Nothobranchius furzeri: one gene and its partners. The main gene of each other region encodes a partner of the protein of the gene in region 3 in a complex. Links are inferred from orthologs where the notes say so. Each region holds a gene or a part of one and is shown on either strand. Other genes may lie near its edges. The genes, in order: pde6gb, unc119a1 and gnat1.

Evidence for each region.
Region 1: the proteins of gnat1 (region 3) and pde6gb are in contact, whole or in part, in a cryo-EM structure (PDB 7JSN), measured with the Bos taurus proteins. The link is inferred for Nothobranchius furzeri from reciprocal best matches to the Homo sapiens genes GNAT1 and PDE6G. Residues at the interface, in NP_851365.1 of Bos taurus: Ser140, Arg201, Arg204, Lys205, Trp207, Ile208, Phe211, Asp227, Val229, Glu235, Val236, Asn237, His240, Glu241, His244, Leu245, Ser248, Ile249, Ile281, Phe283, Glu305, Leu306, Met308; in NP_776846.1 of Bos taurus: Arg36, Gln37, Phe38, Lys39, Ser40, Lys41, Pro42, Pro43, Lys45, Leu60, Val66, Ile67, Cys68, Pro69, Trp70, Glu71, Phe73, Asn74, His75, Leu76, Glu77, Leu78.
Region 2: the proteins of gnat1 (region 3) and unc119a1 are in contact, whole or in part, in a crystal structure (PDB 3RBQ), measured with the Homo sapiens proteins. The link is inferred for Nothobranchius furzeri from reciprocal best matches to the Homo sapiens genes GNAT1 and UNC119. Residues at the interface, in NP_000163.2 of Homo sapiens: Gly2, Ala3, Gly4, Ala5, Ser6, Ala7, Glu8; in NP_005139.1 of Homo sapiens: Asp87, Phe88, Val89, Arg90, Phe91, Ile105, Lys106, Lys107, Gly126, Arg127, Phe128, Val129, Tyr131, Phe137, Val147, Glu163, Leu172, Ser218, Tyr220, Asn230.

What each region holds. Positions count from the first base shown.
Region 1 is NC_091756.1:53,507,241-53,511,375, forward strand, and holds pde6gb (phosphodiesterase 6G, cGMP-specific, rod, gamma, paralog b), read right to left. Parts: upstream 2,855-4,135; 5' UTR 2,436-2,854; intron 916-2,435; 5' UTR 871-915; coding exon 701-870; intron 616-700; coding exon 575-615; intron 495-574; coding exon 418-494; 3' UTR 242-417; downstream 1-241.
Region 2 is NC_091753.1:37,619,669-37,623,144, forward strand, and holds the end of unc119a1 (protein unc-119 homolog A), read left to right. Parts: intron 1-97; coding exon 98-211; intron 212-369; coding exon 370-460; intron 461-1,872; coding exon 1,873-2,045; intron 2,046-2,113; coding exon 2,114-2,226; 3' UTR 2,227-2,830; downstream 2,831-3,476. UniProt on the Homo sapiens protein: Involved in synaptic functions in photoreceptor cells, the signal transduction in immune cells as a Src family kinase activator, endosome recycling, the uptake of bacteria and endocytosis, protein trafficking in sensory neurons and as lipid-binding chaperone with specificity for a diverse subset of myristoylated proteins.
Region 3 is NC_091743.1:65,300,332-65,304,456, reverse strand, and holds the start of gnat1 (guanine nucleotide-binding protein G(t) subunit alpha-1), read left to right. Parts: upstream 1-1,322; 5' UTR 1,323-1,473; coding exon 1,474-1,579; intron 1,580-2,404; coding exon 2,405-2,447; intron 2,448-2,523; coding exon 2,524-2,665; intron 2,666-2,757; coding exon 2,758-2,915; intron 2,916-2,987; coding exon 2,988-3,116; intron 3,117-3,196; coding exon 3,197-3,326; intron 3,327-3,407; coding exon 3,408-3,561; intron 3,562-3,639; coding exon 3,640-3,830; 3' UTR 3,831-4,125. UniProt on the Homo sapiens protein: Functions as a signal transducer for the rod photoreceptor RHO. Required for normal RHO-mediated light perception by the retina.

The DNA of each region.
Region 1 (4,135 bases), on a different chromosome or scaffold from region 3:
AAAGAGGCGCCGAGGCACGTGGCGTGGGAGCCCACCCTCCCCACGGGTTTGCAGCTTTAACGCAAAGTGAGGCTGCCTCGCTTGCATGTTTCTTGTTTAGGTCCATGAAGAGGATAGAAAAGAGAAAATGTGAGCAAGAAGAGTTCGGGTGTACAGAGGAGCAGAGCTACAGAGTGATGCCAGAGTGAGACACAAAGCAGGTGTTTGCAGTCTGAAGATTCCAGTGAGAGAGAACAGAAAATTATTTTTTCATAGTTGTTCCTGTTTTTGTTTTTTTTTGTTTTTTTTGTTTGTTACAGTTTGTTGTGATTTCCTGTTTAGAATAGATCCACATGCAGATTCATGACAGCCGCAGGCAGGTGGTTTGAAGTGCACAGCCTGGAATCCTCAGAGAAATCCTGGAAGATGTGGGACGGCTCAGATGATGCCGTACTGGGCCAGCTCGTGCAGCTCCAGGTGGTTAAAGGCCTCCCAGGGGCAGATGACCGTGATGTCTGAAGAGAGGGACAGAAATGTGAAGCTGTTCAGGTTCCTGAGTGTTCCTAAAGGACATTTTAAACAGACGTAAACTCACCTGTGCCCAAGCCCTCCATGCCGGGAATGTCATCACCAAAGCTGCCAACAAAACAAAGATTACTAACTTAAACCTCGGTTTACTTTGAACAACTCTGAAGGAAGCAGTGGTTCATTAGAGGCTTACCCCTGCACGCCTTTCTTTGGAGGTTTGCTCTTGAACTGGCGGGTCTGCCTCTGTTTGAACTTTGGTGGACCCTTACGCGGAGTGGCAGGGCCACCCGTGACTCGGGTGGCTGGGCCACCAGAGACTCGGGTGGCTGACTTGGTCTCAGGTTTGGGCGGCTCTAGATTCATTTTAACAGGAGTGAAGCGTGTGTAGGTTGTCTGGTTTAGAAACTCCTGCAGTTTGGAAACAAAAAATATAAGAAGGAGCAACTTTTTCCCACATGCAGACCACAAATCTTATCTGATGTGATGCATGTCTAACATATAGCTCCTGTCACCTCTGTGTGACATTATCTCCGGTAATCTTCTTGCACAGCTGAGAAGCACATGACAGGATCACAGCTTCCCTGTGACTGATCGTCTGACGTGGACCAAAATGCAGCCCGTTCAGCAAAGATGACCCAATTTCCCATAATCCCTAGCTCTTGTTAATAAGCTCTCTCGCCCTCTCTGTTTCAAGCTGGTCTCTCTCATGTAATCTTATTAAAACAAGGACAACATGGCAGAAATGCTGAGCTGCACATTGAGGGTCTAAAGAACAATCAGCTCAGCCCGTCCCAGAGACACCCGTGGACTGGTTTAACCCTTTATGTTGTCGTTTATGTTGACGACAAACAAAACAAGGTAAATCATCTGCCTCACTGAGGCTGTGCAAATAGCATCTCAGTAATGCATATTTCAGTATCATTTCAAATAAAAAGTTCAGTCAAAGTTATGTGCATTCATCATAAAATAACATAAAATCATCAGAATCTAGATTATGTGAGAAAATTAACTTGCGCGTGAACCAATTAAAAGAATAATGTTTATGATTAAAAAACATTCTACTGTTTCCATGTTTCTAAAAATATTTTTTTAAATTAAACCTGGCAAATCTTTGAAAGACTAGAAAAAAGTAAATATTTTGGTAGTTTTTATTTTTGCAGTAAACTCAGATTTACTAAAATGGAAATAAAATGATGTGAGTGAAATCACCGAGTAAACCATGCAGCAGATCTGAATGATAAATTGATAATGTTGTGTTATTTTATATATTTTTTGGCACAACATAGAGTGGAAAGGTTTTTCTTTTCAAAACATTTTAGGAAAAAAGATGAAAAAAAAAGAATGATTTAAAATGTGTCTAATAAATATAAATGTCTTCATCTATGTTCAGGAGATTTTTTAAAATTCTGCATCAAAGACTTTAACCCTTTGATGCATAATAGTCACTACAGTGGACAGGTACTCAAAATTGTTATTTATTTGTTTTTGCTATTAAGCACAGCTGTTGAAGACTTTATTGCATTTGAACCCCTCCATTTGGGCTTCAGTAAGCCAAGCCAACATATTTCATGTTCAGAATGCACGCTGTCCACTGAGGTGGATATGTAATAAATTATTTGTAAATTATAAAATTTAACAACAAATATTTGATGAAATTTGTTTTGTTCACACCTAAAGATGAATGAAAAAAAAAAGTTAAAAAAATCATGGTTGAAGATTTCATAATTCATGCATCAAAGGGTTAAATATTAATAGTTTATTTATTGAACATCAGTGAAATGTCCAGATCGTGTAATTGATTGTAGCACAAACTAGTTCAATTTCCACCTCAGCTGCTTTGAGAGGTTTCTCCAGGGTAACAATAAATAAATGTAATCCCTGTGGATTATCTAAGGTTTGTAAACCTTTCTGATGATGATGTTACTCACCTGTTGGCTGACGAAGAGCAGCCTGGTAGCTGGTTGTGAGCTGCTGGGATGAGCAGATGAGTGGACGGCTATGCTGGGGCTCACTGTAAGGGCCAGCCAGGACTTAAGACCATTTTATACTCAGTCCACAGGGGGATTATGATGCTCCACCTCTTGTTTCTCATGTCACAATGTTTGGGCCAAACTGTCTAAATATAACTCACATTTATTTAAATACAGTTTAGATTTTTTTTGTGTTCCATCCATCCATTTCAGCCGCCTATCCGGAGTTGGGTCGCGGGGACAGCAGCCTAGCCAACAAGCCCAGACTTCCCTCTCTCCAGCTACTTGGGCCAGCTCCTCTGGGGAATCCCAAGGCATTCCCTGGCCAGTTGAGAGACATAGTCCCTCCAGTGTGTCCTGGATCTTCTCTTGGGTCTCTTCCTAGTTGGACGTGCCTGGAAAACCTCACCAGGGAGGCATCCTGACAAGATGCCCGAGCCACCTCAACTGGCACCACTCAATGTGGAGGAGCAGCGGGTCCCACCCGGATGACCAAGTTTCTCACCCTATTTCTAAGGGAGAGCCAGACACCCTACGGAGAAAACTCATTTTGGCCGCTTGTATCCATGATCTCGTTCTTTCAGTGACTACCCAAAGCTCGTGACCTTAGGTGAGGGTAGGAACATAGATCGACCGGTAAATCGAGAGCTTTGCCTACTGACTCAGCTCTAAATTCACCACAACAGATACGTACAAGGCCCGTATCACTGCAGACACAGCGCAAATTCGCCTGTCCCTGTTCCATCTGTCCCCCACTCGTGAACAAGACCCTGAGATACTTAAACTCCTCCACTTGAAACCAGGGGCGACGTTAGGCCCGGCTACTTGGGCTGAAGCCCCGGATGTTCTATGAAAAGCCCTGGATCTAAATCGCGGAAGTAACATGCAGTACCAAAGTCCAACAGAGAGGGAGCAGCTGGCAGTAGTTTGTATACAGCCTGCCTGAGCCTCCACCACTGAAGAAGAACTGCCCTTCAGCAGCCGACTTCTTCTACACTCTCTGCCTGAAACGAATGAGTGAAGATGGACATGAGGATGTTTTTTAGACAAAAAGTACAACGACAGAACCCCAGCTTTGATGATACTGGTGTTGACTCAGGTTTGTGAGTATTATTTGAAAATATTTGTTGTGCTGCTGGTTTGCCTAAAGTTAGTTTACTATCAGGTAAAGTTGTTGGAGAAAGAACAGGAATATTTACTATCATGATCATCTCACACTAAACACTAACAGGAACAATACTCTGCCCTGAAAATGCTTAATATGTAGCTTCAGATTAAAAATTATGTGGTACAAGACAAATATATATGATGTTGACTAGTGTGTGTCACGTGTGTGTGCGTGTGTTAAGCCCCGGATCTTCTTCAGTCCTAAAACCACTCCTGCTTGAAACAGGACCCCATCCCTGACCTGGAGAAGGCATTCTACCCTTTCATGATTCAAGACCATGGACTCAGATTTAGAGAATCTGATTCTCATCCCAGTTGCTTCACACTCAGCTGCAAACTGCTCCAGCGAAAGCTGGAGATCACATTCTGATAAACCCAACAACACCACTTAATCTGCAAAAAGTAGAGACCTGATTCTCAGGCCACCAAAACGGATCCCTTCAATACTTCGGCTGTGCCTAGAAATCCTGTCCATAAAAGTTACGAACAGA
Region 2 (3,476 bases), on a different chromosome or scaffold from region 3:
TGTAGATGAAATGATTGCTAGTTTCCTGTGAAATCAGGAAAATATGCTTTTTGCTTCTGATCGCATAAGGTTGTGTGTGTGTTTTTAATTTTTTTAGATTACCTTTGCTCTCCAGAAGAAAATGTTCACATGATCGACTTCACCAGATTTAAAATCCGTGACATGGAAACGGGGACGGTCCTGTTTGAGATCACCAAGCCTCCAACAGCAGGTCAGCTCCAAACCACAGAGAGACATGCGTTGTTTGCGGAGACTAAAGCTGCAAAATATTTGTGTGGAAAATATTTGAAAGCCTGTATTTCAAAGGCATATACAATGAACTTGTTTCTTATAGATGGAAAAAGAGCTTATTATGAATTCCTCCTGCAGGATGCCTAAAGCAATGTGACCCAAACACCGGGCGTTTTGTCCGATACCAGTTCACACCAGCGTTCCTGCAGCTTCGACAGGTTGGAGCCACGTAAGTCAAAAGTGTGTGTGTGTGTGTGTGTGTGTGTGTGTGTGTGTGTGTGTGTGTGTGTGTGTGTGTGTGTGTGTGTGTGTGTGTGTGTGTGTGTGTGTGTGTGTGTGTGTGTATGTGTGTGTGTGTGTGTATGTGTGTGTGTGTTAAGCAAACAGAGGAGAGCAGAGAGCATGGTGTAAACTTAACCCAACTGTTCCTGTCACTGCTGCTGCAGTTTCTGCTGTTCATTTATAGTGATAACAGCTAAAATACATCAATAACCACTATAAACATCTAAACAGGCACTAGCCTTAATCTGCCACACACAAGTGCTTGAATGAAACTTTTATGTTAAATTTTCATGATTCACAACTAATTTGATTCAAAGCTGACTCGAACCTCACAGTCAAGTCTGCAGCGTGCAACAAACCTTGACTCTTAATTTAATGCATCACCATGATAATGTGTTGTGATGGGTTAGGGTTATTTTTTAGATGGGTGAAGAGTGGAGCTCCACCCACTTTGTGTAACACTAGCTATAAGGTGTCGTCTACGGGGGAAAAAGATGCCAAAATATTGTGAGAAGTTTGAACAATGCTTATTTGCAAGTAAATGACAGTGTGCCCCAGGGCAACTGTAGATACAGTGTGGATCATTACCACCAGGGTGTGAATGTGTGTGTGAATGGAAGAATGATACACTTTAGTGTAAAGCGCTTTGGAGTCCTCTGACTTTGAAAGGTGCTATACAAGTGCGGGTCATTTATAATTTATCACTAAAAACTGTATTTTTTTTTCAGTAATTCCACATATTGACTAGATCTCTGAACAACATTTGCTTTATCTTTACAAGCAATAACAAAAAAGATAGAAAATAGTGAAAAAAAGGAATTTCAAAAATCCACTCTGATTTTAATTTCAAGATCTCTGAACTTCAAGCCGTTCAATTATTTTTTGTTGTTGTTGTTTTTGTTGTTGTTTAAAGGGGCAACTTTTTCATATTTTTAAATCATTTTCTTGAACCAGTATGTGCTAAAATGACCCTTTGGTTAATGAAATGCTACCCAGCCCCTATCGTCCCCCTGTGGCCAGAATATTCCACTTGCAACTTCAGACTGGCGGCCTCTCTGCTGGGACTTAGAAAAGATAGAGCTGACAAACCTGGCACTGCAATCTGATTTCAGTGCATTTCCTGTATGTTGTAGATCATGAACACAGCTGATTTGTTTAATTTAGTGATGACTCACTCCTGTAGACACTAATGAAGGCTGAGGAGATGTTTCAGCTGTCAGATTAATGTGTTAAAAAGACAAACGCACAACGAGGTTTTGCTTTCAGTTCTACAAACGGACACTAGGGGGGCTAAAAACATGCCAAAAGTGCCTAGTTCCCCTTTAAAACATTTATTATCATCGCTGTGCGCTATTGCAGGGTGGAGTTCACAGTCGGAGACGCCCCCATCAACAACTTCCGCATGATAGAGAGACACTACTTCCGAGACAAGTTGCTAAAGAGTTTTGACTTTGAGTTTGGCTTCTGCATGCCCAGCAGCAAGAACACATGCGAGCACATTTATGAGTTCCCCACCCTGTCTGAGGAAATCAGTGAGTATAAAGATAAGAAATGTCTCAGCACACACAAGCACAGGATTCAGTGTGTTCTCTTTTCTCAGTGCGTGAGATGATACAACACCCCTACGAGACGCAATCCGACAGCTTCTACTTTGTGGACAACAAGCTGGTGATGCACAACAAAGCCGATTATTCCTACTCTGGAGGGCCGTAGGAACACCACTCCAGTTAGATCCAAGACATTTTCCTACGACTTCAGGACCAGAAACACATGGACTGATGGACACGTCGTGACTGGCAGTAGTTTATCCCGTCTCCTGCTGCAGGAACAGTCACTTCTGCCAGTTTTATCACCAGTTTGCACTAGTGAGCGTGTGGGCAGCCAATACATGCAGTGTCTGAACAAACTGTTGGTTTATACGTCAGCTCCATTTGGTCATCATTGTTTTATTTCATTTGAAGTCTGAATTCAGACGTGTTTTAGATTTTATAGTTTGGATAGAAATCTGATTACATTTTTACTTAGAAGTGCACATTTCTGAGCGATCTCGTCTGACATCCGAAGAATGTGAACATAGTGTCCGTGGGTGCATTGTTTGTTTTCATGTTTCCATGTTCATCAGGGGTGTTTTTGAACAAATAGCCTTTTTGAAGCGTCAGAAATAAATGTTAGCCAAAGATCAGGCGACTGTTTAAGGTTTCTGTCCAACTCAACACTGTGTAACCTACGATTCTGAGAAATGTTTTAATGATCAAAATATTAAAACATGTAAACTTTTGTGATAAATTTCACTAATGCAATAAAAATTGGGATTTTTTTTGCGGACATTTAATTTTTTTACACATAAATAAGGGATTAGAAACGACAGCCATTGGGATGTTGCTGTCCTTTATAACGTTTTTTATTAAAAAAAAAAAGGCAATTTAACATTTCCTCCTCCTAGGCAACAAAGAAAACTTCACATAGTGTCTTTGCTGCCATCTCCTGTAACAACAGTTGTACTACACTGTTTGCCCAGTCAATGTCAAATCACAGAAAATGGTTTGTTTGATCAAATTCGTAAATGAGAGACAACTTTTGAATCATTTAAAGCTGCCATCACCCTTTATAGGGCGTTTAATTAAAGGGATACTATTCAACTTTTTTATGTTTTTCAATCATTTTCTTGAACCAGTATGTGCTGAAATGCCCCCCCCCCCCCCCCTCTGGCCAGAATACACAGAATGCCGCATTTGCAACTTCAGAGCTGACATACCTGACACTGCAGTCTGTTTCCTGCATGTTTTACATCATGAACACAGCTGATTTGTTTCATTTAGCAATCATCCTGTACATACATGCAGTGTCATCATAATATCATTTGAATCATTCCTGTAGAAACTAATGAAAGTTGAGGAGACATTTCAGCTGTTTGGTTAAGGTGTTACAGTAAAAAGATGAACACACAGTGAAAAGATAAGTTT
Region 3 (4,125 bases):
TTGGGTCATGCGGAGGCGCGGTGGAGGGGCGTGGTTGTTAAAATGACGCAATTTCGCCGCGCAGAGCCGTGCGGAACTCGCGGACGCGTCAAGCATAAACCAACCTTTAGGCCACTGCCCCCGCGACCCGACTCCAGATAAGCGGATGAAAATGGATGGATGGATTTAATTGTTTGTTTGAAAGTTTGTTTCTTTAGAAGCAGCACAGCGACCAACATCCCGGCATTTGTTGCGGTCAATCACGCAATGCTTTCTGTCCCATTTCAGTAATTATTTGCTCACATGTGCAGTACGAGCTCGAAGCCTTACTGCATACTCCCTCCAAGTGCACTTCACAGAAGACCGTAGAGCATGGTGCAAGTATTGTGATTGAGCCACACACTCCACTCTCTCTCCTCGCTGCAAAAAAATGTTTTAAAGCCTTCTTGTGGGCGGGCGTGAGCCAAGATGGGCGAAGCAATGAATGCAAATTCACAGTATGAAATAGATAAGTGAGGATAAAATCTTAGCCTTTCACCATCTATTTTCTATCAGAAGCTATCACAGGAGATAGGTGTAGGAGTCTGTTTTCACATTCATCCTGCATAAAAAGCTCAGAGTGACCAATTATACTCAGGAATAATTGGTGTGTGTGTGTGTGGGGGGGGGGGACCACACATTTAAGCGTTGCTGCTTTCATTGTGTCAAACATTGCAAGACACACACACACACACACACACACACACACACACACACACACACACACACACACACACACACACACAGTTATTACATCCATGCATCACTGAAGAGAGTAGATTAGGATTCTTTCCCTCCTTCAGATTTAGGTCAATGAGATCTGTTTAGTGAAACCACTAAGCCCTTTAAGTACCTCAGAACTCACCATTTAATCTGAAGTATCCAATAAGAAATGTCTTATTTTGTGTTTGCATGTATACTTTTCTATGTGTGGCATTTTTGTTGCAAGTTTTATTGTGTATTTTGCTGTAGTACGAGGCTGTTTTTGTGTTAAATGTGTTGGTTCTTCACCATATTGCACAAATAATCATTGTCATATTGATTTTCACTTTCAGCTGAGTCCTAACATGGAATTAATTAGTTTTGGTCAACTATTTAGCTTCTTCCCTTTTCAAGACATCTAAGAAGAGCATGAGATAAGCACTTGAGCCGATGCTCATCTTCCGCTGAGCACAGCAAAGTACCCTAAAGGCTAGAGCACAACTATGGTCCTCCGCTCCTCATCACACCTCTGCCCTATAACGTCCCTGTCCTTGTGCTCCATTGGCTACCACCGGTCAGGTGGGTCGAAGGTTCCCAAAATCCGCTCCTAAGTCGGAAAAATACTCAAACCTCAGGCAGCTGTAGGCAGTTCAGGCATCAGCTGTGCGGTTGAAGGCACCAGCCGGGACCTTCTTCCATTTTTCCTTGACACTTGGCTTTTAAACAGAAGGGACCTAAGCCGGGAAAGGTAGGATGGGGGCCGGAGCTAGCGCTGAGGAGAAACGCTCCAGGGAGCTGGAGAAGAAGCTGAAGGAAGATGCTGACAAGGATGCAAGAACTGTCAAGCTGCTGCTGCTAGGTAAAGACACCCAGCTTCAGATGCTTCAGCAGGTCCTGGTTCATTTATATGGAATCATGATGCTTGCATTTCAAATATTCTGCTGTTAGGCATTAGAAGGTTTGCAAGAAAATTACAAACATTTAAATAAACATTTGTAACAAGCATAAATACTGTTGGCTTATGTTTAATTGTTGCAATGGATACGTCTCATTATTTTTACACAACTTGTTTGAGTCAAGCGAAGGCTTAATAACCTGTCACTGAACTGCTGAGACACTTGGATTATCACTCAAGCCAATCCTCTATTAATCCTGACACAACAGGTCCAACAGCACAAAGGGCTTAGCAGAGAAGGACACAGATATCAAGAAAATCCAAACAGAACCAACATAATTAAAAAGAGAAAGTACTCGCGTGATTCAAAACTTGATATACAATTGAGCCTAGGTTAGTTTTTAATTATATTTTACAAGTTATACAGACAAACATGGGTTTGTACCTGAAACAGTATCTCAGAATTTATAACTCTTGCCGAATGCACAATTGTTGACCTGGTTATAAACAGACATGCCAGGTTATTCCATATATTTTTTGTGCACAGATCCACCATCATCTAATAATGTAGGTCAAGAAAAAGATTAGACATGAAATAAGAAGTATTATGACTTGTTAGGATCATCTGTCTGATGAAATATGTCATCTAAGATAAACCCAGGTCCTCTTCTGGAAACAATGTAACCAATAAAATTACTAAACAGATGTAAGGGTTCTGGAAAATTATGGAAAATCTCAATAAAACTGGCTTTAACAAACATCTACTGATGTTGGTGTTCTCTCGTGTAGGTGCTGGAGAATCAGGCAAAAGCACAATCGTCAAACAGATGAAGTAAGTTGGACTTTAGGCCCTGGTAGCTTTTATTTCTAAATGTAATCTGTGCCGTAACGCCGCATTTTCTCTGCAGAATTATTCACAAAGATGGTTACTCGCTTGAAGAGTGCTTGGAGTTTATTACCATCATTTACAGCAACACCCTGCAGTCCATCATGGCTATTGTAAAGGCCATGACCACACTCAACATTAACTACGGCCACCCCGATCAGCAGGTCGCCACAAACGTCCATATAAATGTTCCCAGTTTGTTGGCAAACAAACAGAACTATGGGTTAAATGTATTTTCTTTGACTCTGTCATGCAGGATGATGCCAGGAAACTCATGCATCTTGCAGACACGATCGAGGAAGGAACCATGCCCAAAGAGCTGTCGGACATTATCCTGCGTTTGTGGAAGGATTCTGGTATCCAGGCATGCTTTGACAGGGCTTCAGAGTACCAGCTCAACGACTCAGCTGGATAGTAAGAACTCTGAATTGTGGAGGTTTCAAGTTTTGTTTTTGCATTACTCAACTGAAACTCTTTTCCTCACAGCTACCTAAACGATTTGGAGCGACTGATCCAGCCAGGCTACGTGCCCACTGAGCAGGATGTGTTGCGATCAAGAGTCAAGACCACCGGTATCATCGAGACCCAGTTCTCCTTTAAAGATCTCAACTTCAGGTGTGTTTCTGCATCACTTAGGATTAGCTGAGCTACAGAGTGAAGACTTCAGATCAAATGTCTTGGTTTTTCTCATGCAGAATGTTTGATGTGGGTGGCCAGAGGTCAGAGAGGAAGAAGTGGATCCATTGTTTTGAAGGTGTCACTTGTATCATTTTCATTGCTGCTTTGAGCGCTTACGACATGGTGCTGGTGGAGGACGATGAAGTGGTATGGACAGTTACCTATTTTTAACTATTTCATGCCAAGTATCAGATGGTTATAAAGATCTTCGTCGAACTTTACTTCCAGAATCGAATGCACGAGAGTCTCCACTTGTTCAACAGTATTTGCAACCACCGCTACTTTGCCACCACCTCCATTGTACTCTTCCTCAACAAGAAAGACGTGTTTGTGGAGAAAATCAAGAAAGCTCATCTCAGCATGTGCTTCCCTGAGTATGATGGTGAGATCTTATTTTTTTAATTATGGCATTTTTTAAACAAAAATTGCAAATTACTTCATTTGACATGGTCTCACATAGGACCCAACACCTATGAGGACGCCGGTAACTACATCAAAATACAATTCCTGGACCTAAACCTGCGTCGAGATGTCAAAGAAATCTACTCCCACATGACCTGTGCCACGGACACGGAAAACGTCAAGTTTGTGTTTGATGCCGTAACCGACATCATCATCAAAGAAAACCTGAAGGACTGCGGTCTCTTCTAAAAGTTGGGCAGAGGAACTAAACAAGGGTGAGCAAAGAGAAAGTGAGCAAAGATACAGAAAAAAATAAAGCCGCTTAAAGCTGTGGTCCGTAGCGTGATGTCATCAAGGAAAGAAGCAGATTTTGAGGTTTGATTGGCTATAGCTCCCACCCCTGCCCCCCTTAACATTCTGGAAGGTAACGCTGTACTAGCCAACAGTAAAGGCAGCACAATTATCTCCATTTTTATTTATTACAGTTATCTAAAGATAAATGAACAGCTTAGTATTTACCAGTCCATTAGAAACTCGACCAACT